7 linked regions of the Kluyveromyces lactis genome follow. The main gene of each other region encodes a partner of the protein of the gene in region 7 in a complex. Links are inferred from orthologs where the notes say so. Each region holds a gene or a part of one and is shown on either strand. Other genes may lie near its edges. The genes, in order: MRPL3, MRPL32, MRPL40, MRPL17, MRPL49, MRPL50 and MRPL13.

Region 1 (4,268 bases), on a different chromosome or scaffold from region 7:
CTTCATAATCTTGGTGATTAAATCTTTGGTTGAATACAGACATTATAAAACAACAGGTGCCACAATTCTTGACAAGTTCTATGGATTGAAAAGGTTTTCTAGATTCCCTAAATTAACCTTTCTAGGAATTTGGTTGAATGACTGTTTATTCGAATACGTTAGTGATATCTGTGAACAATACCATGAGCTCTTGCAGTCCAGAAAATTGACGAGCCCAGAATTGAGCTCATGGCAACAATGGTTTGATGCCTATTATCCTAAGCTACAGAAGACTATCAAAGTGATAAATTTCTGTTTCAAATTAAAGTACTTGCGTCATTCAAAAGACACTGATATGATCCATTTCATAACACAAATAAGATACCAACGATACCAAGAACCCGAAGAAGGAATTGCAAGTAGGAAAAATACTTTAACTCTTTCTGAACGTCGTCGTAAAAGAACTAATTTACCCAGAATATTAGCTATGACCAAGGATGCAGTGGAGAGCACATCGACCATGTTCTTGGACAAGTTATTCCCGAGCTTCCTAGTGATGATCAGAATTTTACAAATTATCAATCAGCGGCCTGAATTATTCAAGAAAGAGATACGAGTAAAGAGACCAAAACCTCCAGTACTACCTGGCGTAGCATCAGAGGTGGATAACAATGATACGACTGACGTATGTCCCCTATGCGGCGAAGAAATAACAGAACCTGCCATGATTTCATCTGGATATGTCGCTAATTTAGAGTGTGCCAAGAAATGGGTAAGCACAGAAAATACATGTTTCGCGACTGGTGTGCCCATAGATAAACGCATCCGTAAGTTATTAATATAGTTTTGCATTAATTTAGTAAATGAATAATGAGAATAATTGAGCCAGTAGCATTAGAATAATTCTGCATTGGTTTCCATTTGATTGAACATCGTTTGCATCATCATTATATCAGATTCCAGCCTAGAGATTTCTGAATCTAAGTCTGGAGCCGATGTTCTACTGTATCTTAGCTTTAATAACCAAATTTCTTTCAAGATTTCATCGCTTGGTCTATCATTATCTTCAAGATATTGAATCATCCTATCCAAATGATCTTTTAAATCACGTTTTAATAGTTTTAAATCGGAATGATCATCCTGAATTTCTACTCCACAGTTGATTAGCTTATAAGGATATCGTACACTCTCATGCCATTGTATCAAATTGCTAGTTTCAGGGAAGTAATGGAACTTGGATTTAATAATGTATTGTTTCGAATTCAACGACTGTAACATGTCATCGTAATCGTAAATGTCCGGGTCAACCATTAGGATTCCAATTGGATCAGAGGATTTCCAGCTGAAAAGGCTGAGCTTCGTATCAACGTTTCCAACTCCATCACACAGAAAACACTGTGATGCTATTTCATTTTCCAATACAAGGATAAATAGTAACGGACCTCCTTTACTTTCAATGATCGTCGAATTAACTTGCAGCAGAACTTCCTCCTTCAAATCCATATCTTGATCAAATAATGCAGAACAGGATCTAGCTATAAATAAGGCAAGGCCTCAAGACACAACTAAGTTTCGTACAACCTCCTTTTTTATTTCGTTCGAGTACAACAGTGTATGAATTACTATTATGTATTTGTATATTATATTTACAGGGAAAGAAATCTTTAAAAGTTGATCTCAACTGAAAAGGATTATGTGGAAAACATACATTGCTGATGCGGCCTGTCTATACTAACACTTCGCCTTGGTCAATAACGACATTCTGTTGGCCATGCACTGGTTCGTAACAGTACCATTTCAACAAAGCGTCTGTAGCGGCTCTGGCTTTAGCTTCTTTCAAAGATGAACCGTAACCCTCGCCTAATTTCTCTTCACCACTGAAAACGCCAACGATGAACAAGGGTGATTTAGACAATCTACCGTTTTCTGCAAGTAGTTTCGATACCGGTCTTTCCAATCCTTGGCGACGGCACAAAGCTGCCAGTTCTCTGGTTGGTTGTTCGAACGCGAACAAATCTTTAACGTCCAGCTTTCTGGACAAAATATGATCTGCGATAAACTTATGTGTCTGGTTGAAATCTTTGTCGACACTGTATACAGCGGCGAATATACTCCTTACGGCAACTGCCATAGCATTGTTCTCAGTGAAGTTATGCAATTCATCTACGGAATTTTGGAAATAACGTAGTTTACCCAATGTAATGGTAACATTTTCTTTCTTTGCATATCTATCCACTACACTTTGAGTTTCCGGTTCTATACCCCAGGAACGACCGACATTGCTCAAAACATGGTCGTTAATATATGCATCCACAGCAGCATTCAAAACCACACCCGGTAGCCTAGGATATTTTTTCATTAGCTCGGATGTAACTGCCAAAGTTAAAAGACTCTTACCAAAAATGTTCAAACTGACATTGTCATAGTTCACTTCCCCACTAGAACGACACGTCAAACATCTGGACAAAAGAGAATAGGATAAGCCTTGAGGCAATCTTAATCTGGAATGGAGTGCAACTAAATTGGGGCTTGTTAGTTCATGTGCAGGGTTCTTTAACAGTGTACTGATGGTATTCTTATATTCTTTCAATGATGACAGTTCTGATTGGTACAACCTGGCACAAGAAGCAAATCCTCGCACTCGCACAGGGTTCAATAGCTTCAAAACAGACATCCTTCTTTAACCCCCCTCGATGGTGATGTTGATTGCTGTATATATCAATGGCAAACCTCACCAATAGCTCACTGCATCACTCAACTTCTTTCCATCCTCTCTCTGTAACTCTTTCACTAAAATTTTTTTTCAATATTTCGATACTGAGATCTGCAATTACCCGGATATAGTAGACTGTTGATGTTTTCCGAGTAGTCACGTGATAATAATATGTTTTCACAGACATCTCATTATTCCAGATTCTTTCTGATACGGCGCACTTATGCTATGGATTGTCGATGAATCGGTAGCTAAACATATTTACAGACTATTCTAAACTACCATAAATTGCAGTTGGAATCGTAATGGTAGTCTACAAGGATCCCACTCTCATTTGGTTCAATTTTTCGCAAAAAGTGATGTTCAGCCCAATGTTGCGACGGTTTTATAGTGTTCCAGCGACATTTTTCCATCCTACAGTGTATGCATTATCAACGCCATCAAATCAGCACTCTGCAATAGCTATAATTAGGATATCGGGTACACATTCAAAGTATATCTTAAAAAAATTGTCGCCAAAAAAACCGCTACGGCAGAGGAAACCGATGATTCGGTCATTATATGATCCCAAGGCATCAACTCTGATAGATGAAGCGTTAGTCTTGTACTTCCCACAACCACGGACCTTTACAGGTGAAGATTTAGTGGAATTGCATCTACATGGGGGGAAAGCTATTATAAAGGCAGCGTTAAACTCAATCCAGGGTTTGCGGGACTCTGAAAGAGATATTCGTATGGCGATGCCGGGAGAATTCAGTCGACGAGCTTTCCAGAATGGGAAAATGGATTTGTTGAAGCTTGAAAGTATCAACAATATGATTCATTCAGATACAGAATTACAGCGATTGTCTGCATTGCATGGCAATCAGACCGTAGACATTTTCCATGAATGGCGACAAGAGATTATAGAGCAGATCGCTAAACTAACTGCAATTATTGATTTTGGTGAAGATATCGAAACGGAAGATATCGATTCTATAGTGAATGGTGCCAATGATAAACTTTTACAACTATACAAAAAAGTGACTCGATTCATGGTGAAATTAGATAGAATGGCTGTCTTGAACGATGGGATAAAGTTAACATTGTTGGGTGAACCAAATTCCGGGAAGTCATCATTAGTTAACGAAATATCTCAAGACGACGTTGCGATTGTCAGTGATATACCGGGCACCACAAGAGACTCTATCGATGTAATGATGGACATTAACGGTTTTAAATGTATCTTGACTGACACGGCAGGGATCAGACAGGGAACTTCAGATTCTATTGAGATCAAAGGTATTGACAGATCCAAAAAGAAAAGTTTACAAAGTGACTTAGTGGTATTGGTCATTGATGTATCTAACCCAAATATAAGTAAACATTTTGAAGAATTTATCAAGGATAACTTATCTGATAAACCTTTAATTGTCGTGTTGAATAAATCGGATTTAGCTACTGAAACCCAGTTAAAATACTTAATTGAAAAGTTCGATGCAGAATTTAAAGCCCTGAAAATTCATACAGTCTCTTGCTTAACCAAAATTGGATTGGAACCATTAGTTAAGACCTTGACATTAAGTTTCAGAAGAAT
Region 2 (4,010 bases), on a different chromosome or scaffold from region 7:
ATTTCATGGGGATATCTCTCGACTAAATCGTCCAACGTCCATCTTGGCCATCTTGGTTTCCCCTCCGAGGTAATACCATCTTTGTTTTGAAGAATGAAAGGCTTATTGATAAACTCTTCATGGAAAGTTGCCACATCAAATTCTGTCTCTTGCATTCTAGGTACTCCAAACTCTGTGTTCAGACATGTACCTAACTCATACGAACTCGTTTCGAATTCAATCACTTTTTTGAAAAGCTCTGTATAATCGATCTGAGAACATTGATATGGTCTATATAAGGTGTCAGAGAACAGAATATTATGACACTGTATCAATGCTTCTTGGTCTACTTTCAAGATGGTCTTTCTCCACGAGCCCCTCCACCTTGAACATCCAAACGGCGAAATACGCTCTTGCTCTGGACTTTCCGATTCCAACTTCAAGTACTCCTTGGTATAAATCTTTCTCCATAGTTCCTCATCGTAGGTGTACGCGTAAAGGATCCTAGAACTACATCCGAGGTTCTGCAAGTCATTTGGATCATCGATATATGCGAGTATTTCGATTATAAGATCTTCTGGTAGCACTGACAGAGAGCCTAACAGCTTTTTCCTAAGCTTTCTAGTTTCCTGAGGATCTGCACCCTCTAATAAAGAATTCCCGCTAGGTTTTACCCCTAACGGATGCGTTGGGATGCTGGTAAATACAGGAATCCTGTAATTTGGCACCTTTTTCACTTTCTTGAACTGTCGTGTCGTTGTCATACTGTATGGAAAATTGTCAGCCTTATTGTCAATTTAAAGTGAAACAAAACAAAACAACCAATATCAGACCAAACTGTTAAACTGATGCCAGTTTTCAGGTCCTGCTTAATCCTGTATCGTGTATTCGCACCTCATCTCATCTCATCGCTACTTCAAATCTTTTCACTCATGATTTTTTTCTTTTCAATCTGATCTTTTCTCGACTGATTTTCACGCCTTTAGGCCTGGCATCAAGCCTGCTCTAGGAAAATTTTTGTATGTGATTTGATTCTATGTAGAGTTGATTGTGATGAGATAATGAATCTAACTATTACTACAGGAGGTGAATGCTGACACTGAAATAACCTGCTAAAATCTGGGACGTGTATTCGACATATATATACAAGGTGATGGGGGGATTGAACTTGATAAAAGGTTGTTTTTTTTTAGTCATTTCCGCCGATGTGTTATTTTGTACTGGATTCAATGAGAAGAGGGTTTAATGTGATCCTTCTTTCTTCTCAGATCTCTCCACTGGCAGAGTTTTCATACGTCTCTCCAAATAAGCATCCTTGTCCTTCAGTTTCTTTGTGTATTCAGTTTCTTTTCTACCAGGATACAAGATACGCTTGTCCAATTCAGACAACTCTTGTTCTTGAATAGGCTCCACTTGTTCAACGTTAGTGTGAGCCTTCCAGATGTGACGGATTTCACCCACACAATGCATACATAGCGTATGTGCCTTCTTGTAATGCCCACATGAAGGGCATTTGTTCAAATGGTTGATCATTTTCAGCTGTTTGTCTCCAGGCGCATATAACTTTTGTCTCTTCTTCTGATGCGACACTTTCTTCTTGGGCACAGCTAGAAGGATCCCGTTATTCGTAAAGTAATCCGCTTGAGGTGAAGACTTTTCACGTTGGTTTCTTTCAAGCAATTCCAGCAGTTTCTGTGGCAATGCAGTACCAGCTGCTGGAGTGCTCCAACGAGGCAATATTGATGTCGCTGTTTCCAGCAACACTCTGCTAAAAGATTCCGTTACAGCTCCAAAAGACATCCTCTAATTATTTTCGCTGCTGGTATGATACTATGATGAAGAGGAGAAAGGATAAGTTCAATCGATAGGGACAGATACTAGTTTCTCTAGGTCGCTCGTCTAACTCTGTTTGAACTTCGTCAATTCAAATTGGTATTGACGAATTGGATTATAAGAAAGAATTTTCAACATTACCCTGATTTGGTGATGATCTGTGTCCCTTTTTCGATTTCGATGAAAAAGACGAAAAATCACAAAAACTAAAAATGGAACTCGAAACGAAATAAGTGTGTCAACAAAATATAAGTAAGGAATCAGATCTTGTATTCTTTAGAATAAGTAAGATTGTGATTACTTTTTTTTGACGTTTCTGTGGTTAATTGCTACTCATTGTTTGAATTTTTGTTATTGCGGTTAATTGTTTTTATAACTTAGAGGTTTTTCATTATTTTAACTTCCAAACACTAAAACACGTAAAGCTTTGATCATTTGGATTTGACTTATATACATCTCTACTACGCGAAAGGAATTATTAAAGGTAAAATACACGCATAAACAAAAACAATGGCATCTAGTACTGCTGCAGCTGGTATGACTTCTTCTTCTGATGGGTTGGCTTTGGTAAATCCATCTTCTTATGTTGGGTTTGATTCGATTACTTCACAGATTGAACATCGTTTGTTGAAGAGAGGATTTCAATTCAACGTTATGGTCGTTGGACATTCTGGTCTGGGTAAGAGTACTTTGATCAACACTTTGTTTGCATCTCACTTGGTTGATTCTTCTACTGGTAAGGACATCACTCAGGAACCAATTAGTAAGACCACCGAGATCAAGGTTTCAACACATTCTTTATTGGAAGACCGTGTACGTTTGAACGTGAACGTGATTGACACTCCAGGTTTTGGTGACCAGATAAATAACGACAAAGTTTGGGAACCTATTGTCAAGTACATCAAGGAGCAACACTCTCAATATTTACGTAAAGAGTTGACTGCTCAACGTGAAAGACACATTGTAGACACTCGAGTACATGCAGTGTTATATTTCATCCAACCTAACGGTAAGGGTCTAACAGAACTTGACGTTGCTGCTTTGAAGAGATTGACAGAAATCGCTAATGTTATCCCGGTGATCGCTAAAGCTGATACTTTGACGTTGAATGAGAGAGCTAACTTCAGAAACATCTTACAAGAAGAATTTAAAAAGTACAATTTCAGAATCTATCCATATGATTTAGACGATCTGACCGATGAAGAAGTGGAACTGAATAAAAGTATAAGATCTATTATTCCATTTGCCGTTGTAGGATCTGAAAAGGAGATTACAGTGAACGGTGAACTAGTAAGAGGAAGAAAAACTCGTTGGGGTGCCATCAATGTCGAAGACATCAACCAATGTGAGTTCGTATATTTAAGAGAATTTTTGATCAGGACACACTTGCAAGATTTGATTGAGACTACAGCTTTGATCCACTACGAAAGTTTCAGATCCAAGCAATTGATTGCTTTGAAGGAGAACGCCAACGCTAGAACTTCTGCACACATGTCTCAGACATCAACAACAATGCTGCGTTAATAGGTGGAAAAAAGAGCCGGGAAGACTTCTAGAAGAAACGGCGTCTTTATTTCAAAAAAATGTAGCGTTTTACCGGTACGCAAGAGCTGTGCCAATTATTTTTTTTGTGTTCTTCACTGGTTTGAATCCTGCCCTAGTAAAATGTCGCTTCATTTCCATATATCTTATTGATAATTGGTAATGTCTCTCTATTTCTACTTGTCAAACGTCTCTTAATCTCTTTTTTATATATCACATTCTCTTTTTAGGATTTATAAACCCCATTAGTTAACTATAATACTACATCACGTATAACCAACTGGTAATTAAAGTCTAAGAAATTGGACGGTGCTGTTGTCCTCCCATTTTTGTACTGAGCAGATGTATGCGAATAAATTAGTGTAGACAAGCTCCAGAGTAATCTACAATGTATCATCACTGCATATTAGTGTCTACATGAAGACATTCAGTGTTTAAATTTTATTCCAGATACTAAAATGTTCTATTTTGTCATATCCTCTGGAATCTTTTTTTTATTGTGCTCTTCTACGACTTCTGAGTAGAATGGAGTCTACAGACATTTGGCAGGAGTTTATGGAAGTCCTTAATGTCTTTATTCTGCTTAGAGCGTTTCATATAAAATTCACTATCAATGTATTTTCTGCGCATGGAAAAACGAATAATAAAGCATCGGA
Region 3 (4,251 bases), on a different chromosome or scaffold from region 7:
GGCAAGTCCAACACAGGTAGTTCATCCCATGGTATAAAGAACGGGGAGTTGAAAGAGTTGAAATGCTTTTTGTGCTTTAATTTCTTACTATGGAAATCTCTTGTCATGACATGTATATGTGTATTAGCCATTGATGGAGTGCTATGTACTCCTGATTGGACAAAATTCGCCAAGAAAGCTTCTTTCTCTTTCAAGGATATATCTTTTATGTCATATTTTTTTATGAATTGAGTCCAACAGAATCGTTTAGCCCAATCAATATGCCATTGAAGCTGCACCTTGATGCCATTGTCGATTGTGGTGGGATGAGAATTGCTGATCTTATGACTTCTTGGCAAAACTAAAAAATGTTCTTCAGATTTAGGGAACTTATCATGTATAATGGTCGCTATGTCGTCAAAGTAGAGTACTTCAGGCAATCGTTCTGGACACAAAACGTACGGTCTGAGACCTATGCTGAACGAGTTCTCCCTGTTTTTCTCGTCACCATGGGCGTTTGGTACATAAGTGGGTTTGAAAATCTGCAGATACTGATTATAAGTCATTCCAGTTGTGATTTGTGGATGGATTTTGTTCATATGGAAACCAATTAAATCTCTGTTCTTGCCGATGAACTGCTTTCGGCAATGTTTACAGTACACAATATCTTTGTTGGCGTCTTCATTTAATTTGAATAAATGAGTCGTAAACCCCGATTTATCTGAGATAGTCCATTGATCGCCTGGACTTTCCTTCCATTCTATAACATATATTGGACCGCACTCATCCATTTGTTATGAACTAGTAACAGTTATCTAATCATTTAGTCATTACTATAATCATAAATTGTTGAGGTCTGTTACTACAAGTAATGACCTTTACGTATAGATTTCCATTCAAAATAAACATGTAGTAAAAAAAAAAGTCAGATAAAAGTGCGATGAAGTATGATATTATGATCTATGTACAAGTAGCGTGGATACGAATGGCAGTTAAGTGCTAGCCAAAACTATTATTTATTCTTATTGTAATTCGAAAGATTTCTTGAAGTGTTGGTAGACCTTGTCACCAATCAATTCTTGATCTTCATCAGTCAATTTACGTTTTGGCAATGCTGCCAATTCTTTTCTTTGTTCGATGTATCTTTTCTTTGCTTCCGTTAGAGGCATTTTTGGAGCCACCAATCTTGATATTTCCTTCGTTGTCAAGGTACCTCTTCTGTATTTCGACTTAGGGTTACGGATGGTTGACAATGCTGCTTCTGGAACAGGATTTTTTACTACGCTTTCAACCCAGAAAGTTTGTTGACGTGCAATTTCAGAACGCGTAGCCAATGCACCATCTGGCTTGAACTCCGGCTTAGGCCATGGAACAACCATATTGTTCTCACCAACAACAACCCTATATGGCATAATTTTCTTGTAATCTGAATCATAATACGAACCCTTGAATTCGATGTCACGAACAGCAACAGTCTTAGCCACACCTGGAGTCTCTGGATCATCGAGATCAGCGACTAGTTTGATGTCCGCTTGGCTCACGGGGACAGGGAAACTCACCATATGACTGTTCTGCCCCTGTTGCCAAAATTGCTTGGGCACAGGAACAGTGTTGGTGGGTCCATTCTCATCCAAAATATACCCGTTTGTATGCACGTCGTGCTGCGTAATGGCACAAACATTGCCCTTAAACTTTCCATTTACTATCACCACTCTATCACCTGGCATATATTTCCATTGCTTTACACTCTTATACTTCTCGGATTCTTCGACACGAGGCAACGATGGTTTCAAGAACTCTGGCATCGTCAAACCTTCATACTTGGCAAATTGTTTCGCAATATTAGAGTTCTTCGCTTGAACTTGCTCCAAAAAACGGGCACCAGCCTTCGATAAATGTTTATATGAAGACATACCCGCTGATCTATTTTATTCTAGTATCGAATACCACCGTCCTTTTCACAGAACATAAACCATTTGTGGTTCATTCCATAGTACCATATTGATACATATGTCTTTCTTGATTCCGTTCCTTCAAGTTTTTCATCGACAAATTTTTTTGGAAGGGAAAAATGAAAGCACGTGATCCGAATTAGACTATCAGATTCTTCGCATTTGATTTAGTATTATAGCTTGATGTTACATAGGATATACAAGGTGAGATATACATGCGGCACAGGGCTCCAGCTGTGGCAATGGAAATGGTCGTGAAGCACTAATTGTCAGTGCATATAGCAATGAACTCTTCTTCATTGATCTCTCCGTCATCGTCAAGATCAAACTCATCAATCATGGCACGTAGTTCTTCGTCTGTAAGGTTTTCACCTAGTTCGTGAGCTACACGTTTCAAATTCTTCAATGAGATCTTGCCCGTGTTATCATCGTCGAATAGCCTGAAGGCACGTTTAATTTCATCCAATGGGTCTCTTTGCAATATTTTTTCTCCTACTACCAGGTAAAAATCCTCGTATTGTATTAACCGGCGTCCGTCTGCATCATACCTATCGATAAGTTCTAATATGTCTCCTTTACTGAGTTCAAAACCCAATGCCCTTAGAGCGACTTTGAATTCATGATAGTCGAGATATCCATCATTGTTCATATCAAAGAGTGAGAACGCCTCGTATATTTCTTGTTTCTGTTCTTCTAATAATTCCTTTTGTAAAGTGGATTTATCCACGGATTTCGCTACTCGTCCACTGGGCCTTCTGTTATTCATGTTTCTATGATCCGAATTGGGTTAGATTTCTTGCCGTTGTGAGTCTTGGCTGTAAGTCAATCGAACCTCTTAATTTACCTCTTTTGCTGCACGCGTAAACTTCGTGAAACTTCTTTAAAATATGTTTAAAGATTTCATGTTTATGATTATTTTGACAATATTGAGTTTAAGGAACATAAACACATATCCTGAAAGAAATGAAGGCAATAACTGATGAATACCTTACAGTACTGCCAGATCAACTACTCTTTAGTTCTAAAATGAAACAATGGATCTGGAATTAGGAGATAGGGTAGTGCTACGCAGCCTGGCAGGAACTGTACGGTTTATAGGCGAGACGCAGTTTGCAGCGGGGATTTGGATCGGTGTTGAGTTAGATGAACCCTTAGGGAAGAACGATGGTAGCGTCAAGGGAGTCAGGTACTTTGAACTCAGTGAGGGTAGAAAAGGTCGGATGTATGGTATATTCAGTAGAAGAGAGGGTATCTATAAAAATTCTGCACCGAACTCGCAACAATTTCAGGATCCTGATACTACGAATTCTAACTCATCAGATCCCGAACGATTGAAAAAGATCATTGGAAGATTGGAAGTTAAACTCAAGTCAGTTAATGACAAATGTATTTCGTTTGAAAAGGAGCTGGGATTGAGATCAAAAGAGCTTGAAAAAGTGCAATTTCTCGAGGAACAATTGGAGAAATTAACTTTAGGACGAGATGAGGCAGAGCAACGCAATGATTCACTGATATTTGAATTAGAAAGCTTGACCATTGCTCATGAAAGTGCTTTGAAGGAGCTTAATGATTATAAAGAAGAAATTTTAATAAGAAGAAAAGCAGACGTTGATGTCAACACTGATCAGATAGAATCAGTAGAATCAGATGCCCTTATCAAGCAAAACAGATTATTAACGGTTGCACTACAAAAGCTGCAATCAGACCTAACAGAAATACAGAAACAATGCAACGGTTTGAAAAATAGTAATGAAGAACTGCAAACCCAGGCAGAGACATATTTGCGAACAATATCAGCCTTAGAGAGTAAACTATTTGAAACAACAAAAACATTAGATGAATTGAAACAGCACTTCAGTGCGAATAGTAATTCTAATAACATCATTGAATCTCTTACTACAGAAAACCATCAATTAAGTACGGAGCTTGATTGTCTTAAGTCAGAGTTACTCAAGTTGAAACAAACTCAATTGGCAGATGAAGAACTAGAAGCACTTTATAAAGAGGTCGAATCGGAGCTAAATTCTCAAATAGCGAAACTTCAGGAAACTCTCTCTACTGACGAGAGCATAATTAACGCATTGAAGGAAAACAACAAAACCTTAAAGAATGAATTACAATCACTGCAAAATAAATCGGGGCAATATTCTCAAGAAATGTCACCAGAAGTTGAAGAATTACAAGCAGAACTTACTTCGTTACAATTAAGGAATAATGAGCTTCAATTCCAGAACGAGGTATCTTCTGCAAAGCTTAGCCATCTGAAAGTGGATAACAAAGTGGAGCTACTTTCTCAAATTAAAATCATATACCTGAGAGA
Region 4 (4,045 bases), on a different chromosome or scaffold from region 7:
TTTGTTATTTTACTCGAACCCCTCAGTCGTCCGATCGTATTGCTATTACGAACACGTTCCTAAAATAGATCCCCTTGATTATTGAAACTGCACGTACACAAAAGCACACACATATCACAATGATGCAAAGCGATGAGCATGAGGATTTTGTAGCTACTTTAGAATCCTTCAAAGAGTTGAAATCTGGGATTTCTGGTTCTCGTATCAGAAAATTAACAGACTATGCTGTCAATCACGGAAGGAACATCGAAGCATTGTTGTCGTTTGTGATACAGTACTCCAAAGAGTGTCCTCCGACTCACAAATTGGGCTCCTTGTATATCGTTGATTCTATTGTTAGAGCATTAATGAGTAAGTCAGAAACTGTAAAACAAGAAGAAGGCGAAGAAGGGAATTATTTTTTGAAAGGTGTAGAACTATTAAACGATAATATACAACCCTTACTAATTGATGGTATTGAAAGAAGTGATCCAGCCCATCTAGAAAAAATTCAGGAGTTAATAAATATTTGGGATAAAAACAACGTTTTTAACAACAAACCTTTGAATGCAGCAAGGAGTCGTTTGAGTGAACTTGTAAATAGCAACTCGATCCCTCCATCTTCGTCATCTAATTCGTCTTTAACCCCACGCCCAGCTCCCAGTAATGATAATAAGTCCTCCTCAGGTAGTAAAATTGATCAAGTCTTGAACGCTATACCGAAATTCGAAAACCTTCCTGGCATACAAGTCCCGTCTGGTTTATTTTCAGAGGACATATCGGTACAGGACTCTTGTTTGAAAGAACTTCTAGGAAAGTTGCAAGTTGAACTGACAAAGAACCAAAAATTGGTTCAAGTAAACAAACAGGCTCCTCGCTCGATAGATAATTCTACCTCTTCTACCTCTTCATCGTCAAGGTCTACTCGCTCAACGCAGTACGTTGGAAGAGACTCCAGAAATGACAGATCTAGATCACCCCCAAGAAACAAAAATGACAGATCTCGAGCACAGGCAACAACTTCTCTGCATTTATCTAGGCAACAGCAGCAACAACAACAACAACAACAACAACAACAGCAGCAGTCAATTAATGGTCAACAAGGAAATAACCATCATTTGTACCCAGATGAGCAGAATGTTCCCTCAAACCCTCATTTTAGGCCAAAACCGGTATCCTTTGATCCAACTGTGCCAAGGGACCACGTAAAAGTATATTCCAGAACCCTTTTCGTTGGTGGTGTCCCACAAAATTTCAAAGAACATGATATTGCAAGAATGTTAAGACAATTCGGTGAGGTTCAGAGTGTTATTTTGAATAATGCCCGTAAGCACGCCTTTGTGAAAGTCTATTCAAGAGCAGAAGCGGAGAGGATCATGGCGCATTTCACTGGTGGTGGCAATCCGACACATGGTTTGAGAATCCGTTGGGCCGTTGGTTTCGGTCCTAGAGACTGTTGTGACTATCAATATGGATATTCAATCATCCCATTGGCCAGGCTAACCGAAATTGACTTCAAATGGTCACAGTCCGCGGAATGGGGTGGTACTGGTGGTCAACCAATCCAAACAAACATGGTTTATGAGGAGCCCGATATTATTGTTGGTGAAGGTGTTTCATCAAAAGCGATTTCGCAAAAGATGCCAACTGATAAAGGTGTTTTGGGTCCCAAGTCTGGTAAAGTTGGTCAAGCTACTGCTGTCTCTCAAACACCTATCCCCTACAGTAATATATCTCCTCCTCCTCCTCCGGTTCAAACATCACAAATACCGAACGTTCCTCAAATCCAACAACAGTATTATAACCAGCCATTGTATCAGCAGCCTCCATCAATGGTATATGGTCAAAATCAACTGCTGGGATCGGCATCATCTGCGCAGCAGCAGCAGCAGCAGCAATCGCATCAGTCTACTCAACCTTCGGGCCAAAAATCTCCTCAACCCCCACAAAATTTCGATCCAACTGCGCAATTAAACACATTGATGAATATTTTGAACCAAACGCCAAAATAATGCTTATATAAATGCACTTAAATAATTTTCTGTATCTGATAGCCTTTATGCATATGCAATTCACTCACTACTTTGTTCTATTAGTGACACCACTTGGAAAGTTATCAAATCCGTATATCGTGATCGATTATTTCATATTGAAAAATTTTGGAATAGTAGGCATGAGAGGATGTTCAAACAATTTGAAAAATTATTGGAACATCAGCATCATGTTGAAATAGTGCCGCTTATCAGAATTGGGAAGCATATTCACCAGCTGTCAATCATCGTGTATATTCAGTCAGCAACCCTCTTCATCGACACAATTATAAATAAAAATGTCTGTGAAAGCAGCAGCAAGCTCGATTCCCAAGGCAGTAAAGGCAGGTTTGGTACTTTCTCGTGTTCCAATCGTCACTCCAGAATTGAATGCACTAGAGAACAAGTACTACCAATACCAGGCAGAACTGGAAAGAAGACTAATGTGGACATTTCCATCTTATTTCTATTTCAAAAAAGGTACTTTGGCAGAGCGTCGTTTCCAGTCTGTACAGAAAGGTGTGATTAGCAAGCAGCCTGGTGTATGGTTCCCTAAAGGAGTGCCAGACGTCAGACATAACAGAGAAAGAAGTCAAAAGCAAGATATTATGCTACCAAGAGAGGCTTCAGAAGGTTCAAACAAGTCTGATGTCTCAAGGCCAATTGTTCCTAATTCCAGAACTACAAAGGCAGACGAAAATAACGATATTACTAGTTTAGACAGAAAATTGGACAGAACTCTGCATTTGCTTGTGAAGGATGACAAGGGAAGCTGGGTTCTTCCAAGTTTCCCGGTTGATATTGAAGCTAAGGAAGGAAAGAAAGCTTTACATGAGACCGCTGAAGTGGGATTAAGAAAAATCGGCGGAGAAGATATTAATACATGGACTGTGTCGAATACTCCAGCAGGTGTTCTACAATCTGAAAAAGATCTCCAGTTTTTGATCAAATCGCATATCATAGCAGGTGAATTCAAGTTAAAGGATGAAAAGTCAATCAAAGAATTTGCATGGTTGACAAAAGATGAAATCAAGAAAGCTGTTGACGAGAGATATTTCAATAGTATACAATATGTTCTTGCTGAGAATTAACATATTATCATCAAACACAGAAAGTATTGGCATGATTTAATCACTATATATATATGTAAACCCTCCTGTAAATACTGCTTCGGATAGAAATTCCAACCCGTATCGAACACTAAAAGATAACAATCATATACATATTGCTGAACTCTGATTGATTTTAAGATTGGAACATTATATACTTGTAAGAATGCTAATTAACTTTTAAATCTATCACCATCTATCATTTGGCTTTCTAAAAGAAGACCCTGTGTTGGAGCGACCAAACGACTTCTCACTGAATTTATCAGCATCTCTCTTGTATGGTTGTTTGCGCAGCTCTTTATCCCTCTTCCCGCGCTGTGGTGTGTCTCTTTGAGTTCTACTGCTCCGATCGGTGCTTTTCTTAACAAAATCATTTCGTTTACGATCATCGGTCGATACCATAGTTTTCGGTCTGCCTGAACGTAAATCAACCATTGTCATTTTATCAAGAGCACCAGTGGTGTAAAATATTAAGCACGACTTTGACCACTTGATTGTGGAACGTGATGAATTTTTAACCACCGTGTTGTATAGGATAGACAAATCATTGTACCAATAGAGACTTAAAAATGAATCGTGAGAGTCTAATGCTTTGCTCAAAATAGATATTATTGACCCATCAAAAGAAATGTCAATTCCAGTTATTCTATTATCTGTCTTGATTGATTTTTTCAAGGGCACAAGATCAGGTAACGAATAGATAGAACATTCGTTATGAGTTCCGACTAACAATGCTCTGCCTAATGGATCCATTATTAGTGACGTGATGGTTTTCATATCATTCCGCCTTTCACAGAGAAACTTTAATCCATCATCTTGGAGTGAAAATAGTTTTATGAATCCTGATTTATATGCAACGATAATTTGTTTGGAATCATTAGACCAGCAAAGGGAATGTATGGCATCATCCGATTTCTCATCAGGGGA
Region 5 (3,849 bases), on a different chromosome or scaffold from region 7:
GAAAGTTGAATTATCTTTCGTCAACATAATGAAGAGTTCCCTCGAATCTGAGGGTCGTTTTGGGTATATTTCTTCAGGTATCACAATTTCTGGTGGTTCCGCCTTTGGCGATTCCTTAACTTCCTCTATGATTATTCTTGCTGCTGGCTGAGAAGAAGGTTCTGCCGGTAATTGTCCCTTTCGCTTAATTTTATCCCACAACCTAGCCTTATCATCTACGTTAATCGACTGTTTCGAAGTAGATGCATTTACTGTAGATGCGGCAGGAATCCTTCTATTTTCAACTGGTCTGGGTTTAGGAGTTTCCTCAGGCTCTTCAACCACACCATGTCCAAAAATCGAAGTAAACAGGGAGGATTCCGAAGAACTGGTCTTATGTTGTCGCCTGAAAATACCGGTATAAGCTGTATGAGAGGGACTAACAGATGATGGTGTTGTCGGTGATTTATTAGTATTTTCTGTCGTAGATAGAGGTCTTGGGGGTATAGTTATCTTGATATCATTCTTAGATGCGTTATCCTTCGTAGATGATGCATTTCGTAAGCTGATCAAGCTTCGTCTATATAATGCACTTGCGCTATTGGTCTTTGCCTGCCTCAAGGGTAAACTGTAATTGCTTGCTTCTTGCTTTTTTGATGTGGTAGGTTCACTAGAAGAACTGTCTTTCGTAATATTCTCAATATTCAACAGCGCCGATTCTGATGTACTTCTTATATGGGTAGAAAAAGATGTCGATAACCTTTGGCTGACCTTAGCAGACTCACTCGACGACCTTGAATTATTGATAATCCGATTACCATTCCTGTTGTTTCCCTTCACCACGTTTTCTTCCAGCGTTTTCTTCAATAAGTACTGAAACCTTTCGTAACTTGAACTCTTGGACTGTTGTAAGGACTTCTCGTATGGTGCAAAATTATCGTAAGCTAGAAGTTTCAAGAACTTATTCCCGCTTATACTATTCCTCTTGAAAAATGTAATCCACTGATCGTTGAAATCGTTAGCTCTGAACCACTGTATTATCCTGGGCATCGTCCACTGGCTCGGATCAGTGACATCCCAATTGAATAATAGTCGCTCAGATGTTAACGAATTGGTGCTCCCACCAGAGGACTTCCTGGATCCCTTGCTGCTGGAATCAAAACTATAATCGTTCTTCAAACCACTGGTCACCTTGTGATCCAATGACGATGGATAAAACTCACTGATATTGGCAGGATCAACATGTTTGTTGAGTATAGATGAGGCAGATCCTGACCTTGAATGTCCAGCAGTGCTACTCTTCTTCTTCAAGAAAGACATATCATCCACGGTTCATCTATATTTAGCGGGACTTTACTTATCAGATACTAAAGTATCGATACCCAGTAATTGTTGCACTAAGCTCTTCTCTTATCGTCTTTCTCCCCTCTTTATTAACGATTAAAATGGTATTAATTACAATTGTTTCTATTTGAATTTATATCTATTCTCTAAAACGGTAAACGTTTCTAACAAATTCGATGAGATGCTGCCACTAAAACATAGTTACTAGATGGTATAGTATTTCTAATCGATCTATAACGACCTAACATTATATTAAACTTTTATTTACACGATTTTGTAGGAGGGTTAGTTCATTAATTGACTTTTAGCTCGGATATTCTCAGAATAGTCAAATCGGCTTTATTGACCGCATGACGCACTTTCCTGTTTCTTCTCTTGGTAACTTCTCTCACTCTAAGCGGGCGTTTTGTCTTCTCAAGAACTGTAGCCTTAATAGTGTATAGAGATGGATCAATAGGTTCGTCCACGAGCTTGAAGTTACGAGAACCAATGGTAGTCACATCAGTCAAATTTAGCACATCGCCGACCTCTGCTTGCTTCAGTTTAAACGGTAAGATAACCTTATCTCCTTCTGTCACCAAGTATGGTCTGTTGTGTATTCTGAATACGGCATATAGCTCATTGGATAACTTCAACGGCGTTAAATTCACCTTCGCTTTTTCTGCTACCGAGTGTGTTGTTCTGATGAAACTTCTCTTCAAAGGTTGAAGAAATGGGCTGAAACCCACCATTTGCCTTACTGGGAGGGCAAACATATGACTGATATTCTTGAACATCGTTTCTGCACTGATTCGAACGACAATTGGCAGATGCAATAGCCCTTTCAATCTGCTTCTTCTCACTTGTCTTAAATGTTGTTCAACTAGTCGTATACTGTTTCAACAGAAAATTTTTTGAGCCTTCGAGAGTTAAGTGTTGATGTCAGTCACGTGACGTGACGTGAAAAGTAGGGCACACACACAGTCATGAGAAGGAAGAGCCAACGGCCACGCCAAGGGACAGCGTCGTTTCATTTGTGCATTCATTCGGGTATGTTACAAATGTTACAGAACTTTTATACATGAGTCAAACTATTCTTTTAATCCTGTGACAATTCATGCAGATTTGCGTTTATCACCGTTCAAGGATCTCATGACCTTCCTTCTTTGGGCAACCATGTGTGAGAATAGCACCGGGAACCCTGGAATGTAGGCTAGCATACCTGCAATTAAGAAATACTTGTACAAGATATTGTATTTTGCTTCAGCCAACGGCAATGCAGAATAAATTATGAACAATTCGCTGCCGACGCCCAATGGATATAGCACGTAAAACATGTTATATCTCAATACAACAAGTACAGTAGGCGCTTGAGCCACCAAGTTGAAGAAGTAGAACATGTACCTCACTATTTCAGCAATACACCATGCCGACAACAACGTGATGTAATATATTTTATGCGCATTTTCTGCTTCCGGCACATACTGGAAGATACCGATGACTACCAAGAGTCGAGAGGCCACTTGAGCAGCAGTGGTCACTAGCGGAGCACGGACTATTCCAAACAAAGAATTTGTGACTTCAATTATAGCACCGCATTGAACGTACGTGACTAAATCCTTGGTAGCAATAAAGAAACTTGGTTGACCGATCTTTGGGTAAAGGGTCACGACTTGATATAGGACATAAGCCCAGGCAGAAGCAGAAAGTAGGTTGTAAAGAGGAAGGAAGGAGAAGATAGAAGCCTTAGATGATGCCATTGGGTGTGAAAGTGTATTGGTGGGCTCTTTGGACTTCGGGGTTCAATTTATTAAGATCCAGTTCGGTTCTAAACAGACCAGTTTTTGTCAATAACAAGAATTCATGGTTTCAGATTCATAAAATTAAGTGATGCATTGAGACGAAAAGGAAGAGAAATCCAACAATACCCAAATTAACAAATTGCAGTATGTATTGATGACATGAGAATTAAGATTTGAATTAGTGTTACTCGTATGTTATTATTACTATTACTATTATTAATATTATTACTACTTGAACTAACGATAAACAGAGGAAAAGTAAATGTTTATTATATATCAATTTGTGTTGATAAGGATTCGTGTTTGGGGATAAGGCTGCATTGTTAATCTGTATCATGTGAGCTTGATCTTTGCAAAGCAGGCATTCCCATTGCTCTACTACTCTGCTCAGCGAGATCGTAAGGGATCTTATCATTACTGGAAGTACGACGCAGGGAGTATTCATTCGAACGATGAGAAATGCCGCTATGTGTTCCAACATCAGTATCAGCATCGAAATCATCTTCGTCGTCGTCCTCATCATCGTCGTTTACATCAAGATCGTTGAGTTCTTCGTCTGGTGCATCGTAGGGCATACCACCCGGTGATAACATGCTGGAGTATAAAGGATGGTTTGGTTTTGCATAAGATTGCCCATCGTCGTTAGGATCTAAATAATCTTCTTCATCGTCAGGTGACAGATCAAATTGGTGGGAATGGAACATGGAGCTGTTGAAGAAGGTTTTATTGGGGACTTGCGGTTGGA
Region 6 (3,933 bases), on a different chromosome or scaffold from region 7:
GGCCCGCTCTGCGAAGAACTACCAAGGTATACGTTGTATACGGTATACATATATTTATGATGAAAGCGATAAAATACTGAATGAAATTATTTCATTCTTCCGCTTGAAAGTAGAACTCCAATGTTTTCAAAAAGAATTGAATCGTTGTCCTGGTAGAATTGTGATCTTCTCACTGTATCTTCATTGAAGCCAGCATCCCCTGATAACACTTTGAGAGCCTGCGATGACGATTCCATGTAATCTTGTAGCATTGGAACTGGATCCTTAGCTAGTTTATCAAAAAATTGGTATTTCTTTGCGCTTGAATTTAGTTGTAGTTGTAATAGTTGTGTTTTCTGATTTAGTTCTTGTATTTGTGGTTCGATTGCAGTTGATAGCGTATTGTATTCATTCAATAGCAATAATTCATCCTTTGACAACTTTTGGTCGCCTTTAACTGACGTTGATTTAGGTACTTCCATGTCAAATACCAAATCTCCGAAAGTGGAAGACTGATCTACACGAATAGTATAGTCAAGTCTTATTGGAGGTATCGGTTTTACATGATCTTTCACTAGACTTGGCAAATCGGCGAGCTTCAAAGAAACAATGCCTGCGGCAAGCCTTTCTGGAGACACTAGCTTTGCTAATGAAGCATCCATTTTCACTAAGACTTTCTCACCGTTTGTGGAATCCTTTGGTCCCGCCTCGTCGTTATTCGTCAATAGACTGTTTAATAGAATATATTTGTAAAGAGAGTATATCGCCTCATGAAAGGTTCCTTTTGAGAATCCGACAATACATGATAGTTCTGGTGAATACTGTAAGAACTCCCCTGTATACCCTTTTGGTTGGATAGTGATGGTACAGTTAACGTTTTCAGTACCCTTACGTGAAACATCAACACCGTCAAACTCTACAGGAGTATTAGGATCCACATGCCATTCAAAAACGGTTTGCTCATTTTTTGGCTTTTTAGCACTAGGTTCCTGTGTCCCTTCTAATAAGGGGTCTCCCATTTCTTGATCAGTTTCATCATCTTGATCTTCCTCTACAGGTTTGAAATCTATCGCGACGCTTTCTATAAAGGAGGAAAATTTAGGCCTATTTGGATCGTCTGCCTTCCCATTATCTAACAGTCTACCTTCAATACGCAATGTCCATGATGCTTGATCAAGTTCCATGGTCTCATCGTTCGTCTGCCATGGCTGGTTCTCAGAAATATTAGAAATGAAAACACGAACAAACTGATTATTCGCAGGATCTGTGTATTTGGAATGAGTCCATTGAGTAATATTCTGATGCAAATCAATTTTTTTACGACTTAAATATATGTCAATTCTCTTCTCAGCCTCTTGTAACTTACTTAGCCCATCCAATTCTGGTATTAATTTCTTCAAATACGGTTGGATATACATGTCAGTTGGTTGTGCAACTGGCACAGTTTGTGCCTGTTGATGTTCAACCGTTGCTCCACTCTGTGCCGCAGACATTTGATTTTGATTTTTCTTTAATCTCAATCTAGCGGTAGCTTAGTTTATTCTACTAGGAGGTAAGCAGATGATATGTCTCATCTATACAAGTTGATGCATGTAAGTTAATGTACCAAAAGCTAGTGAATGCTTTGTTTAGGTTGATTGAATAATTCGAAAAACTGATGTTGAAACAACGAAAGCACCCATACACCCATACACCCATACAATACTTTATAGCGAATCGTATTAGGTTAGATTGTATCCATTACGCAGTTCATTTATAAATAAGTATTTCAAAGGTTACAAACACGGAGTAGTACAGTATGAACGGCTGTCACTCGCTAAACCAATCTTTTATCTTCTTTTTATGTACACATCTTTTAACTAGGCTGGCACTTAGATATGATTTTAAAGCTTCAAAAATTTTTGATAGTTTAAAATCACATTAGAACAAGATCAATCTAAAAGTTAACCATAAGCAGGGAATTAAAAATAGCGTCAATTGTGTTTGAAGTGCTATTCCAATAACTGCACACGCTCCAAGGGCTTTTAAAATATTACAGCAAAATGTTCAGACCGACATCATCGTGTCTTTCTGCCTTAACCAAACGTACAAAGAGAGTACAGGTACAGTTATTAAAAGATTTTCCTCAGTTCCAATTTCATACCGGCGAGGTGGTAAATGTCAAGCCCTCACTAATGAGAAACTTCTTGCACAACTATAATGGAGCCCGCTACATTCTAAAGGAAACTGATATTGACCAAGCCCTGTTGACCTCAGCTAAGAGATCACGTGCATCAGCAGCAGCTTTATTAAAAACAACCGAATCAACGGTGAAGAAGACTGAACAGAACGTAAAGAAGGCTAAGCAGGTATCCAAGGAAGAAAATAAGACACCAGAAACTCCTAAGTCAGCATTAAACGAAGAAATAACTATCGAGAATGTGAAGATTCCAGGATTAGACTTATGATAGTAAATGTTTTATCTTTTTTTTCCTCCTTACGCGGATCATTTGAGATACCAATGTCTTACAAAATAATAATGATCATGGATGTTGTTCGTGACGTCTCGTCCCCATTGCGGTTCAGAGGCACATTCATACACTTGTACATAAATTACATTAAAATAACTTGCGAAAACAATAAAGAAAGTTCGTTGCATCCAATCGCTACCAGTTGAAGTAATAACGTGGACAGTAGATCTGGATGATTCATACTAAATGGGGATTGACAAGAGAGTTATTACTACAGGAACGCTCATCACCTGGACGAGCATATTTCTCTTGATCAGCTTTAACTGTTGCTTTGGAAATAAAGAGACGAGAATGAGAAACAACCCCAATAGTGATGAACTTTCTAAATTCTCATTTTCTGTTTGTTTCTCAGACGTCTTTCTCTCTTTTCTCTTTTCTTCAACTCCATTTTATCAAGTTCTTGGTCGGTCAACTTGTCTCTCATATCCTTTCTCTTTTGTCTCTCAGCTTCTTGTTTTTTTTCAAGAGCCATTTCTCTTTCAACCTGTTGCATGACTTTAACAATCTTGCCTAACTCTTCTTTACGCAATTGAATACCCTTCTTCAAAATATCAGTGGTGATGAAAGAATTGGATGAGTTAGTTTGAATATCCTTAGTAACATTGTCATAAATTTCGACAACTTTGGTTATCAATTCCTCCAACAATTCGATATCTTTGTCAGAAGTTACCAAGGATAAGTAGATGACACAACGTGGCAATTGAGAAGACTCCCATAATTTGTCAGTAATCGGTTTCTCTTCTGGTAAATCAGTGAAAGAAATAAACTTCAAGAACTTGGCAGATTTAGATAGCAACACCTTGAAATCTTCACCGGCATAGTGAGGAATAAATCCGTTCAACTTATTTGATTCGGACATGAAAACATAGTCTGCTGGTAAAGATTCATTTTCAGCGGTATGGGTCAATGATAAAAAGTAGTTTGAGTCACGAGCTTTAGTCATCACTGCTTTGTTAACGATAGATGTGATGAATTTCAATTTGGACAAAGTTTCCGCTGAGTTGGCAGTTAGCTTAGCATCTTCAGTAGAGACGAATTGGCCATTTGGAGTAATGGTAACTGAGATGAATTCTTCAATGTCGTTGGCAACTAATGTTGGTAAAAACAAAGCTAATGCCTTTTGAGTTAACAATGCCAATGGGTTGTGACGAGCCGTCAAGTGTGCCTTAACAATTACGCTTTCAATAGTAGAACGACCAGTGGCAAAAGATGTGAACCAGGTGTTATTTTGCTCCTCAATATATGGCATCTTCTTGCCATCGGCACTAAAACCAACCTTTGTAAAAGATAACTTTGTTAACAAGAATGTGTTCAAAGTACCAAATATCTTATCGGCATATTTATTGTTCAGAGTCTTACCATAATAAGAAATGAAAAATAAGATAGCCATGAGACCAATGCAAGCCAATTCAAAGGTCCAATTATAAGCAGTCACTCTGCCCCA
Region 7 (4,203 bases):
AGCTCCAAAGACTCTGTCTATTCAACAAGCGTTACGTAAAATGTTTGAAGGCCATTATCTAAACTTACCTGTTGTGGATGATGGTGAAATTGTTGGAATTGTTGAAGTCCTAAAACTTACCTATGCGACGTTGTCCCAAATAAACCTAATTTCAGATGCAGAATCACATAATTCACAATCTCAGAGAAGCAGTGTACCAACGACTCCAAGTAAAAATGCTGCACCCGGACCCGCATGGAATAAATTCTGGAACGGGTTTGATTTGATGAACGATTCTTCGTCAGTCCACTCAGAAAGTGTTTTCAGCAATGGTCCACCAGAAATATCTCAAACAGAGCTAAATCAATTCCAGCTTGACAATGGAATGCATTTGAATGATTCAGTGTCTTTTGTAAACGGCGAGACTAGCTCTTTGATGGGAAGTAGTCACATTACTTCTCAAGAAGATATAAGAACTTGTTTACATTCGTTCAAATTCAAAACTTTAACAAATAACAAGACCCACAGAGTATCCCTAAGGCCAATAGAGGGGGTTTCAAAACTAGTTGAACTGATTGGTGAAAAACTAGGAGGTTCAGATGATGTGGAAATTTTATATGTGGACGATGAAAATGATCTTGTTAGCATCACTCATGATCAAGATTTGATTGACTGTGTGCTTGTGCATAAAAACATGAATCTAGATAAGATTGATTTATTGGTTCATTATAGATATGAGACTGTACCACAAGATGCTGTGAATAGATTAATCCAAAATAGGTTCAAAAAAAATGTGCCTTCTCATCCCAAACCATCTAACCAATTAATTCCTGGAATTCCCAATGAAACCCTTCTTCCAGCAGTAATTGTTGCTCTCGGTGCGTCAATTGCCGTGATATTTTCGTTATCGAGAAAACACTAGGTATACAATCAATGCCACGCTCTTTTCAAACCTTATATAAAAGTATATATATATTCACATACAATAATTTTTTTTTGGTGATTGATCTCTCATACTAATGGTTATAGTAACATTATGTATAAGTATTTATATTATGTACAGGATTTAGATTGAAGGAAAAGTCAAATCAAAGATCTGAAAAGCGGCCGACTGGCCTAGTTCAAATGCATTGGAAAAAAAGATATGCGATAGTAAATATAAACAACCCAGAAGAGAGATTGTTTTCGGAGTTTAATCCCTTTTAGCTTTCTCAATAGCGTCTCTTTCATATTGAGCTTCCAATGCGGCGACCTCTTCCAAGATTTTCTTCACCTTCTGTTTTTTCACAGATGGTTTGACATCGGGAACCACGTACACGTTTGGTGGGAATTTGATATTCGATAAATCAATGGCGTTTGGTTCCGATTCCTTAAATTTCCCTAGTTGACCACTTAGTACTTTAATCTCAAACCACGATTTAAATTCCAATGGAGTTTGTAACCTTGTAAGTTCGTAGTCTGGGATAATGTGTCCTGATTTGCATTGTAGCAGTTTACTGAATTTGAACTTGTTTACCAAATTTTCGAAAGGTTTCCCCAGTTGTTCTTCCGTTGGGACATCACCGAAAGTTTCCTGATAACTTTCCAAAACAACCTGTTCCAACTGTTGTTCGGTACTTAATTTATCCTGAGATAACCACTCGTTGAATGGGACGACATCCAACTTTTGTAAACGAATAAGTTCTTCTCTTCTAGATGAATCGATACCAACAAAATCATCATCTGTTAACTCTAATCTTGTGACCGTTGAGCTCTTCACTACAGTTGTTTTCCCGGACTCGATCTCATTTATAACTTCTTTTGTATCTCTTTGCAATTCTGGCTGTGTTGAAACGACACCAGCATCTTTGTTTTTATTTCTTCTGAACCATGACAAGAAATCAGAGCGCACTGCACTTGAAGTGAATTGTCTTGATGAACGCACTACTGGCACGTACCTAGACGCTAGCATCATTATTCTTTTTTGTTTTCGATTGAAAAATATGCACAGTACCACGCTTTAATGAACTGATATCAACCGCCAAATCAGACAACACTAGAAGATACTTCTGTGCTTAAGCTCATCAAGAACTTGACCGTTCAATTAATGTTCTAATATACAATATCTTCATCAAATTGTAAGTTTATAGTTTTTAGATGAAATTTTTCAATTTTTCAATTGGGCATAGAAAGAATGTAGTCCATATGGGAAGGTTCTAAAGAGAGAAAGAAACAGGATCTGAAGCGATAGATAGTTGCATCATAGTGGTCTTTAACAACGGGTCGAGTTAAGTGCGTACTTCCTGGTTTGCATGATGTTCACTGTATTCAGTAACTAAAAGCTGCTTATCTATGTAGCCCGATAGATAAAGAAGACGGGGTTACCCTATTCAAAACACCCACAACCCACATACTAGAATATGAAATTTATGCTTCCCAGTGCTTTTTATCAACATCTATAGTAAGTGTAGTTCCTTTACCTTAAAGCCACCAAGGCAATGAGATAGTTTACGTTTACTAACGAATTCTAGCATCAGTAGCTACCGAAAATCTGCCTAAAACATTTAAAATATTATGGGAAATGTGCTAAGTTGCTGCTTTCGTCAAGATAGCGACGAAAATGACCCGTTATTGCAGGAACAGGACAGGTACGGCTCACAAGCCCAATTAGATTATAACGAAATGGAACAACGACAGAAGGAAAGAGTGCTTGCAAGAGAACTTGAATTGACCGAAATCGTGAATAATACGAACGATAAGCTTATAGATATAGGTATGATCAGCAACAGCGGTATCGTAGCATCCTCACACGATTTAGGTTCGAGCTATGTGCAAGATCAAAGAGAAATTTTACATGACGTACCCTTAACGGTACTTCCCAGTTCGAAAATAAAACAGGACACAAGGAAGGCGATTCAAGAATTTCACAAAAAGTACTTCGCTAACCTAGTGAAAAACCTTACCGTGGAATATAACAAGCCATTGGTCGCCAATATCGAATCGTGACGCAATAGGTTTCTGCACTATTAGCGCACTCAAAATGGGTTCACCAAATGTTGAAATGCGATATATCACTATATACGTCTGAACATTTCTCAATCTTGTAAAGGTACTTTCACTCTCTTTATTGAAAACATTGAAATATACAAACTTTGTAGAATAGACATATAAAACAATACGCAGTATACGATTTTGGTTTGTCAAAGGAGCCAATTAGGTACGGTTAGAGTAAGTGCCTTGACTGCTGCATATATACTGAAATTTGTTCATTTAAGAAGCCAAGGAAGCGAGGAGGCAAAAAAAAAAGCATAAACAAACTGGAAAGCGCCAAATACTATGGCTGTGAAAAGAAGCAGATCAGAAGATCCCAGTGAGGAACCCGAACAAAAGCATTCAAAACAGAATTATGTACCAAGATATACACCAGGAAAACGTCCTAGAAGCGGCGCTCTACCCAAAGTGGATTATGTGCACCCTTTGGATCCTACAGAAGAGCTCATTGTAGATCTAGATTGGACTATTCCTAAGTTGAATTTGTTCATCGCATTTACTTTGGATAATTTAGTTGAAGCTCACAAGGCTTTATTCAAACACTTTATCAAACTACCCAGTAGGAAGTTTCATCCACAGTACTATTACAAAATTGATCAACCGATCTCTATTAACGAAATTAAAAGCAGGGATTACGAATATAGTGGTGGGGAAACCAAGTTCTTATTGGATTGTGAACTGATCTACAAGAACTGTCTTGCATATAACGATCCAGATTCTCTTATTGTTAAAAATGCGAAACAAGTGGTATATTTCATCAAAAATGAAGTGTTGAAAGTAAAAAATGCTACAAGAAATTTCTTGGTTAACGATGATGTGAAGACACGTTTCATAGCAATCTTTGACACTTTACTCAATGTAACAGATAAACAGATGGCAGAAATCTTAGCAGAAGATGATGACGTAAAATTAGAAGCGGCTTCTAACAACAACTTGGATGACACTTTAAACATATGCCAACCGTTCCTTGAATTGGTAGATAAAGATGAGTATCCAGAATATGAAGAAGTGATTCGTTTACCTAACTCATTGAACTTGGTGAAAAATAACTTAGAACTTGGATACTATCACAAAATCTACGATTTCATTACCGATGTTAATTTGACGTTTCAAAACGCATTGGTTTTCAATGACGAAGATACTACAATATATAGCGATGCATTGAAGCTGATGAAATGTTTTAGTGTATTGATC

The links.
Region 1: MRPL13 (region 7) and MRPL3 share a complex: the UniProt entries of both Saccharomyces cerevisiae proteins name them as parts of the mitochondrial large ribosomal subunit. The link is inferred for Kluyveromyces lactis from reciprocal best matches to the Saccharomyces cerevisiae genes MRPL13 and MRPL3.
Region 2: MRPL13 (region 7) and MRPL32 share a complex: the UniProt entries of both Saccharomyces cerevisiae proteins name them as parts of the mitochondrial large ribosomal subunit. The link is inferred for Kluyveromyces lactis from reciprocal best matches to the Saccharomyces cerevisiae genes MRPL13 and MRPL32.
Region 3: MRPL13 (region 7) and MRPL40 share a complex: the UniProt entries of both Saccharomyces cerevisiae proteins name them as parts of the mitochondrial large ribosomal subunit. The link is inferred for Kluyveromyces lactis from reciprocal best matches to the Saccharomyces cerevisiae genes MRPL13 and MRPL40.
Region 4: MRPL13 (region 7) and MRPL17 share a complex: the UniProt entries of both Saccharomyces cerevisiae proteins name them as parts of the mitochondrial large ribosomal subunit. The link is inferred for Kluyveromyces lactis from reciprocal best matches to the Saccharomyces cerevisiae genes MRPL13 and MRPL17.
Region 5: MRPL13 (region 7) and MRPL49 share a complex: the UniProt entries of both Saccharomyces cerevisiae proteins name them as parts of the mitochondrial large ribosomal subunit. The link is inferred for Kluyveromyces lactis from reciprocal best matches to the Saccharomyces cerevisiae genes MRPL13 and MRPL49.
Region 6: MRPL13 (region 7) and MRPL50 share a complex: the UniProt entries of both Saccharomyces cerevisiae proteins name them as parts of the mitochondrial large ribosomal subunit. The link is inferred for Kluyveromyces lactis from reciprocal best matches to the Saccharomyces cerevisiae genes MRPL13 and MRPL50.

Annotation. Positions count from the first base shown.
Region 1 is NC_006041.1:685,737-690,004, forward strand, and holds MRPL3 (mitochondrial 54S ribosomal protein mL44), read right to left. Parts: upstream 2,654-4,268; coding exon 1,706-2,653; downstream 1-1,705. Other genes in the region: PEX12 (ubiquitin-protein ligase peroxin 12), read left to right, coding at 1-823; KLLA0_E07613g (uncharacterized protein), read right to left, coding at 874-1,482; MSS1 (Mss1p), read left to right, coding at 2,998-4,268. UniProt on the Saccharomyces cerevisiae protein: Component of the mitochondrial ribosome (mitoribosome), a dedicated translation machinery responsible for the synthesis of mitochondrial genome-encoded proteins, including at least some of the essential transmembrane subunits of the mitochondrial respiratory chain.
Region 2 is NC_006042.1:1,181,909-1,185,918, forward strand, and holds MRPL32 (mitochondrial 54S ribosomal protein bL32m), read right to left. Parts: upstream 1,780-4,010; coding exon 1,222-1,779; downstream 1-1,221. Other genes in the region: KLLA0_F12804g (uncharacterized protein), read right to left, coding at 1-743; septin CDC10, read left to right, coding at 2,323-3,336. UniProt on the Saccharomyces cerevisiae protein: Component of the mitochondrial ribosome (mitoribosome), a dedicated translation machinery responsible for the synthesis of mitochondrial genome-encoded proteins, including at least some of the essential transmembrane subunits of the mitochondrial respiratory chain.
Region 3 is NC_006039.1:834,664-838,914, forward strand, and holds MRPL40 (mitochondrial 54S ribosomal protein uL24m), read right to left. Parts: upstream 1,893-4,251; coding exon 1,002-1,892; downstream 1-1,001. Other genes in the region: HNT3 (DNA 5'-adenosine monophosphate hydrolase), read right to left, coding at 1-770; CDC31 (centrin), read right to left, coding at 2,194-2,697; NIP100 (Nip100p), read left to right, coding at 2,966-4,251. UniProt on the Saccharomyces cerevisiae protein: Component of the mitochondrial ribosome (mitoribosome), a dedicated translation machinery responsible for the synthesis of mitochondrial genome-encoded proteins, including at least some of the essential transmembrane subunits of the mitochondrial respiratory chain.
Region 4 is NC_006039.1:256,548-260,592, reverse strand, and holds MRPL17 (mitochondrial 54S ribosomal protein mL46), read left to right. Parts: upstream 1-2,308; coding exon 2,309-3,100; downstream 3,101-4,045. Other genes in the region: Nrd1 complex RNA-binding subunit, read left to right, coding at 120-1,991; TEX1 (Tex1p), read right to left, coding at 3,308-4,045. UniProt on the Saccharomyces cerevisiae protein: Component of the mitochondrial ribosome (mitoribosome), a dedicated translation machinery responsible for the synthesis of mitochondrial genome-encoded proteins, including at least some of the essential transmembrane subunits of the mitochondrial respiratory chain.
Region 5 is NC_006042.1:1,308,571-1,312,419, reverse strand, and holds MRPL49 (mitochondrial 54S ribosomal protein bL21m), read right to left. Parts: upstream 2,100-3,849; coding exon 1,617-2,099; downstream 1-1,616. Other genes in the region: mitogen-activated protein kinase kinase kinase BCK1, read right to left, coding at 1-1,299; enoyl-CoA hydratase PHS1, read right to left, coding at 2,418-3,062; SAP185 (Sap185p), read right to left, coding at 3,428-3,849. UniProt on the Saccharomyces cerevisiae protein: Component of the mitochondrial ribosome (mitoribosome), a dedicated translation machinery responsible for the synthesis of mitochondrial genome-encoded proteins, including at least some of the essential transmembrane subunits of the mitochondrial respiratory chain.
Region 6 is NC_006039.1:791,058-794,990, forward strand, and holds MRPL50 (mitochondrial 54S ribosomal protein bL9m MRPL50), read left to right. Parts: upstream 1-2,021; coding exon 2,022-2,426; downstream 2,427-3,933. Other genes in the region: RSC6 (Rsc6p), read right to left, coding at 87-1,472; KLLA0_C09086g (uncharacterized protein), read right to left, coding at 2,812-3,933. UniProt on the Saccharomyces cerevisiae protein: Component of the mitochondrial ribosome (mitoribosome), a dedicated translation machinery responsible for the synthesis of mitochondrial genome-encoded proteins, including at least some of the essential transmembrane subunits of the mitochondrial respiratory chain.
Region 7 is NC_006037.1:257,333-261,535, forward strand, and holds MRPL13 (mitochondrial 54S ribosomal protein mL50 MRPL13), read right to left. Parts: upstream 1,934-4,203; coding exon 1,172-1,933; downstream 1-1,171. Other genes in the region: KLLA0_A02893g (uncharacterized protein), read left to right, coding at 1-901; MEH1 (Meh1p), read left to right, coding at 2,533-2,964; RSC4 (Rsc4p), read left to right, coding at 3,295-4,203. UniProt on the Saccharomyces cerevisiae protein: Component of the mitochondrial ribosome (mitoribosome), a dedicated translation machinery responsible for the synthesis of mitochondrial genome-encoded proteins, including at least some of the essential transmembrane subunits of the mitochondrial respiratory chain.